Linked DNA regions of Kluyveromyces lactis. The protein of the gene in region 2 interacts with the protein of the main gene of each other region in a pairwise test. Links are inferred from orthologs where the notes say so. Each region holds a gene or a part of one and is shown on either strand. Other genes may lie near its edges.

Region 1 (3,144 bases), on a different chromosome or scaffold from region 2:
CAGCAAATGCATTGAAAGCCTTTGAAGGCTTGTCTGCGACGATATCCCTCGCATCAGCTGGTCTTGAGGATGAAATGTGTTTGTTTGGCTTCACCTTCAATGTTTCTTGAGCGATGACAATGGTTGGTTCTTCTTCTTCAGCCACAGACTTTCTTCTGACCGCTGGAGCAGTTTCTAGTGTAGACCATCCTTCCTCATCGGTAGTAATTTTTGGTTTCAAATGCTTGAATTTTGGTTTAGCATGGTGGTGAGAAGATCTTCTTCTGAAGTGAGAAAATTCTTCTTCATGTGCTTCTTGGATTTCTTTCACTTTTTCAATTATAGCGTTGAATTCATCAACGTCGAAGTTTGGTTTAACTGGTTCGGTTGGTCTTAATTGTAAAAGTTCTTCTTCTGTGTACCTGATCATCGTGGCCCGGGAATTAGTATTTGCTTTGTGATGGCTTCGAAAGAGTTCCAGTAGAAATAAAGGGGAGAATTGTTATGTCCACACAGAGCAATTGCTAACTGTCTCATATTGTTCTTAAAGTTTGCAATTTCGTAAATCTTTTCATCTTTAAGTTCATAATTTGAAAATTTCATGATTATGGAAGGAAGACTCAAAAAGAAGGGTCCGGGTAATCATTGACTACGCTGGGCAAGTTTGATCTGTTCCGCAAGAGATTGTGTCTCTTCTTGCATAGTCTTATGGTCGTTCCTGTACTTCATGTAGTCAGTGTAGTATTGGTATGCTAAGCCTGACACTGTCGGATGTAGTTTTTCTTCAAAATCTTGTGAAAGTTGTGAAACAGCCTCTCTGTGAGACTTGACGGAATCCTCAAGCGCTGTTCGCAGTTCATGCACTTTTCGTTCCATGCCGAGCAGTTCGTGCTCCGTAGCCGGTGTTATAGTTTTTAAGCTAGTTTCCAACTTGGGATGTAAGACAGTGCTGGGCACTTCGGTGGTGGATGCAGAATTAATGATCTCTTCTAAGTAATTGTTTACTTCCGTGGAATTGTAAATGGGGTTACCATTCTCCTTTGCTGAGATTATACGATTCAATTCACGGTCAATTTCATTCTTTGGATCTACTATCGGACTGGGTACCTGTAATTCTGTTTTTATTTGGAATACTGTCGGTATGTATTCCATTATTTCCATTGCCTTGTTTTCCGATTGATGTTCCGTGGAAGATATTAAGGCTTCTAGGGGATATTTACCATTAACATACGAACTTTCAGTATTAAAAGCATCAGTGGATTCCATTTCTTCATCTAAATCATCCAATACAATTTCAAAATCGTTCTTAGGAGAAGGCAATGATTCAAATAAATGAAGTATAGATGTTGTTTTGTTTATCTTCCGTTTTGATCCTTTTAAAGTAGCAGGAGTAAGCTCAAGTTTAGGTTTCTTGTACTCATCAGTTAGTACAGAATCTAATTTTGTTACTGATGACGTTATTTGTTCGCCTTGCCTTCTCTTTTGTGGTATGGTTTTCTTTTCATCAGATTTCCTGTCAAGTAAACCTTTCCTTTCTACCAATTTCTCAAAACTCTTGAGTAGCTTCTCAGTCTGTTCATCCTCCTTTGAGGTATCGTATATACCCGGTAGTGGTTGCTGTTCATACGCAATATCCTCGTTGTAATCCATCTGCGAAGAATATTTCTTCCTGGGAGCTTTGATTTTACTATCAACGCCCGCTTGTTTCAACTCTCTACGCTTCTGTAAGAATGCAACACGCTTACTTTCTTCTAGCATACGTTCTCTTATCTTACGAGTAGCCTTTTTACCCTGAGTGTTTAATAGCCTGGCACGAGCTTCCGCCAACATTTCTCTCTCCTCGTCAAGTAGCTCATCTTTATCAGCCTTGGCTGGTAAGCTTTCGTTATTTGGGTTGATCTCACCGATCTGTACCCCTGTAGTTGCTGCAAGCTCTAAATCATCCTTATCAATCGCCAGGAGGATATTATATCTGTCGATACATGTTTGAGCAGGTCTACCCATCATTTCTCCGATGCTTTTCCATTGGTTTGGAATTCTTTTCGCTAAATCTAGTAGTTTATCATCTTCCTGCTGGCTGAATGGTTTGAAGTTTAGACTGGGATTCAAAAATTCATTCCAACGAGATTGACATTGCCTGGCATTCTTCTTCTGTAGAAGCGAAGCTACTTTACTCCATGCATGTGTTCCATATTTTTGAACAGCCGCCTTTAATATTTGATCCTCAAGGTTCGTCCAAATACCACCTTTGACATAAATCGGAACAGGAGCCATCGTACGTGGTTACCGCCTTTGATTAACTTCCCTTTGAACCAACGTTACAGCTTTAGCTGATACTATTATTAATTAGTTTCCTATGTTTCCACCAAGTATATGTCAATTTTATTTTCAATCCAATCCCAAAATTGGATTATCTAGATTTACACAGTGTTATAAAGAAATAAAACAATGTCAGCGAATAAAGAGGGAACTGTATCCGAACACATAGTTTACATATTGCTTTACTCGCAAGAGCATAGGTACCTTTTTCGTATTATTTCAGCAATGCTGGATACTGGTTTCTTTTGTGACTTCCTCCAGTCAGTACTTCGGTCTTTAAACTACCTATATTTTATTAGAATACAACAAACTCTGAAATTCTTTCAGAAAACACATGACAGATAATGAGAAAGTATATGTTGTTCTTCTCTTATTAAATAATGATCATCATTAACATTATTATGTTCTTTTTCAGCTATAGTTTTTCTAGTTCCCTTGTTTATATAATGATTGGCTCTCTATTACGCAATAAAAACTGGAAAAGGGTTTTTTGTTCGAAGACATTTTTTAAACTTAGAAATTGCATACTATATTGAAATCGCCAACACTATTGATGGTTCGACGATAAAACCCATCCAAAAGACTCCAACGATCCGTGTCAATGGGCTTTCTCTTCACCCCTAAGCACCAGAAATTGGTGAATCAGTGTTATCCACCAGGCCGAACTCCCGATAAGAAGCCAAAAGGGTCAGAGACTTCGTACTTGTTATATTATGTTAATTCGAGACGTCCAAAATTGGAAAAGGTCAGCAGTTACCTTGTGAAGAGGTCGACAACGGATTTGAACAGAAGACGTTCCGGTAATGTCTCTGTCACTCTAGAGCTACTGGCTAAAATCGTCGAGAA
Region 2 (3,766 bases):
GATGAACCTGAAGTAGAGGATGAATTGGTCAGTAAACACGGATTTTCTAAGGATATTGCCAAAAAAGCACAGATTTTCGCATTAGATGAAGAACGGTTTGCATTTGCAAGAGCCCTAAGTAGATTATCCCACATGAGTTCAACTGATTGGGTCGAAAAACAGTAAGATACTAGTGTTTTTGTATGTTACACGTCATCAAAGAAAGACAATACGACATCTTCCAAAACAAAACATAAGAGATTGATCGATATGCCATTATCAACTTTAATCAATATATATCCATTTTATAGACCTAAATCAATTTCAGCCGTATTTGAGTATCCTTTATCTTCTGCGCTTGGTGGTCCGCTTCCACTAATTTTCGCAGTTGACGCCCTAAATTCGATGCTATCTGCATGTCTGGATACTTCCTCTGTATTTACTTTCATTGTGTCCTCTAGGAACCTACGTGCTTTTAGCATGTTCTTGAACGAGTCTTTTGTACCGTGCATAGTTTCGAAATTCCTCCAGAAATCCCAAAGTTCTTCATTCTGTGCGGGCTTCAGTAATTTGCTCCCGTAGTCTAACAATGCTCTACAACGAGCAACCTCATTACGCGATTCTTCTAAGATAGCAAATGGAAGTAGAAACTTGATTGCTTTAGAATTGGGCAATGTTTCTATACATTCTTCATATAGTTTTCTGGTGTGATTGACGTCCAATTGTTTTTCACTTCTATTGATGCATTCTTCCCATAAAGTACATTTACTTTCAAGATCCGAAATATTCTTGGCTCCTTTGTGCAAAATCTCGACACTTCTCTCGTGGAAACCAAGGTTTAACTCAAAGTCGCTGTACTTTTCAAAGAACGAAACACATGCCACTCCTGAAGCTGCAAGCTTAATAGCAGATTCAAAAATATCTCTTTTTTGCTCTTTAGTGATATCAGCTTTGAGTGCCACATCCAGATATATATCCCAAATAGACTTCGATACGCTTGGAGGAAAAATCTCAACACTCCTTTCGAAAACAGCCAAAGCTTCTGCTTGATGGCCAGAAGATTCATTTAATAACGCATAATTAATAAACATGGCTGGTGTTGCTGCCTTGATGAGTATTGCTGTTTCATACGCATTTACAGCTGTACCATAGTTTCCTTTGACCTCCAATAAGTCAAGGTACATTGCCCATAAGCGTTTAGATGAGAAAATTGCTGCTTGTGCTGGCGATTCTCCTTTCTCAAATTTTTGTAGGAGTAATTCATGATTATCTGGTATTTCTAATACAACGGACAAAACTTTTATGGCATCGTCAATGCTTCTTTTTAGTCTGTATTCACACCAATATAACCAAACATTTTCAAGATCTACTAAAAATTTGAAAGGGACGTTAGTGGCTTTGTCCAGCAAGACCTCGGATTTTTCAATATCCTCTTCAAAAAGTCTGCAATATTGACACCATAATTCTCCTAATAGCCCTGGAGTAGTCTGAAGTCTATAGTCCACGGTAAGAACAGCATCTGCATAAACTTTAGCTTTATCAGAGATGGTATCAAAAAGCTTCACTCGTTCTAGCCACAATTTGATGTTGTTGGGTTCTCGCCTCAATTCTAAGTCGTTTAATCTAATAGTGTGGTTTTTTATTAATGAGGTTAGAGTGTCGGCATGTAGTCTTATATTTGCGAACAGCCGTTGCTTTTCTGAATTATCGTCTTTCATCTTTTGAATTAATTCTTGGGTCAATAGCTCCTCCATACGAATCCAAAAATCATATAATACAGAAAATTCGATAATGTCTTTAGTTTCGCTTATAACTTTCTCTAAGTACAGCTCAGCTTCCGTTATTTTTCCTTGACGTATCAGGTTAAATATCAAATATGTCTTAAGTTCACCCTTCTTGAAAGGGAATAATTCGATACATTGGTCCACTACCGCAGCAACCCCTGCTGAATTATCCACAAGAATCATTGAAGTGATGTAACTAACGTAAAGTTCAAATAAACTTGTCTGAGATGGCTTTAAATTAGGTGATAGATGTTTTTCAAATACTCGAACGATCGTGCTCCAATCATGAGTCTTAAAAATGTAGATCAATAAAGGCTCTATGTCGTCACAAATAAGTGAATATCTCTGTAGGATTGAGGAAGACCAGAGGTCTGTATCAAAATTCGTCGAATGCTCTCCGTGAACAAAATAGTAGATGGAATCCTCTAAAGAAAGTTCATACCTCTTGTTGTCTATTAACAATTCATTGATAATGAAATCGATGACAACACGCCATATTGCTTCATGGTACTCCCACGACATTGATCGTAGCGCTTTTCCAAGCAGTTCTCTAATCCTCTTCAAATCCTTAAACTGTATTACCCATTCCATATACATAATCCATGCATCCCCAACTTTGCCACATGATGTTAAGCACTGTTCGAATAGTAACGATATCTTATTGTATTCATCTTTGTGCCTGAAAATATCACAATCGTTCAATAATTCTATCCTCCATTTCAAGAACTCTTTCCATAGATGCCAGTCGTCCTTGATCTCCTTCAAACAACGTTCGTATAGCCAATCTAAATTCAACTCATCGCCTGCTGATCTTTTAGTTGCCAAATATCTCGACCATGATACAGCATTGTCTCTTTCTCTAACAACACCATACTCAAACGGAATATCTTCCTCCTTGACAAATTTATCTATTTCCATCGAAACATATGTCTCTCGCAGTACCTGGTGGAAAAACAGTGCACTAACTTTACCTTAGATGGAGCTTTAATTGTAACTCATCTCATTAAACGTTTTGACATATCACCGTAAATGAAATAATATCTAAATTTCGAAATTAACCAATTTTCAAAATATCTGAAATATAAGACATTCAATCATTTGACGAAAGAAAGGTAGAAAAGGGGGGCATATATCAGCTGGGGCAGAACGTTGCAATTAGGCTGGCACTGACAAGTATCCAACCTGGAACACATTTACTTGTAATCGTTTGCTTTTTCTTTGAAAAGAACTGTTTTTCTACTGTACCAATCAGGTGAGTTTGGTACTAAGCGTACTGATAACATATTACAGCAAGGAAGGAACGACTTCACTCCTAGCATCTTGAATTTTATCGAAAAATGTCTAGTAATAGGGAACAGGTTTTCCCCACTCGTATGACCTTGGGTCTTATGAAGACTAAGTTAAAGGGTGCTAATCAGGGTTATTCTTTGTTGAAGAGAAAGTCTGAAGCATTAACGAAGAGATTCCGTGATATCACTAAAAGAATAGATGATTCAAAGCAGAAGATGGGCAGAGTGATGCAAACAGCTGCGTTCTCTTTGGCGGAGGTCACATATGCTACAGGTGAAAATATAGGGTACCAAGTTCAAGAGAATGTTGCCAATGCAAGATTCAAAGTTAGGGCCACGCAAGAAAACGTGAGTGGTGTGTACTTGCCTCAATTTGAATCATTCATCGACTCCAACATCAACGACTTCAAAATGACAGGTCTAGGTCGTGGTGGTCAACAAGTTCAGCGTGCTAAGGAAATTTACTCAAGGGCTGTTGAAACACTAGTTGAATTGGCTTCGTTACAAACGGCTTTCATTATCTTGGACGAAGTTATCAAAGTTACCAACCGTAGAGTGAATGCCATTGAACATGTGATCATTCCAAGAACGGAAAACACCATTGCTTATATCAACTCCGAGCTAGACGAATTGGATAGAGAAGAGTTTTATAGATTGAAGAAAGTGCAAGAAAAGAAACAGATTCAAACTGCTCAGTTGGATGCTGAAATGAAG

Evidence for each region.
Region 1: the proteins of SYF1 (region 2) and CEF1 interact in binary tests that used the Saccharomyces cerevisiae proteins (3 or more experiments, as listed by UniProt). The link is inferred for Kluyveromyces lactis from reciprocal best matches to the Saccharomyces cerevisiae genes SYF1 and CEF1.

Annotation. Positions count from the first base shown.
Region 1 is NC_006039.1:634,730-637,873, forward strand, and holds CEF1 (Cef1p), read right to left. Parts: upstream 2,254-3,144; coding exon 622-2,253; downstream 1-621. Other genes in the region: CAF20 (Caf20p), read right to left, coding at 1-409; EFR3 (Efr3p), read left to right, coding at 2,900-3,144. UniProt on the Saccharomyces cerevisiae protein: Involved in pre-mRNA splicing and cell cycle control.
Region 2 is NC_006037.1:178,174-181,939, forward strand, and holds SYF1 (mRNA splicing protein SYF1), read right to left. Parts: upstream 2,682-3,766; coding exon 285-2,681; downstream 1-284. Other genes in the region: AFG1 (Afg1p), read left to right, coding at 1-165; VMA8 (H(+)-transporting V1 sector ATPase subunit D), read left to right, coding at 3,101-3,766. UniProt on the Saccharomyces cerevisiae protein: Involved in pre-mRNA splicing and cell cycle control.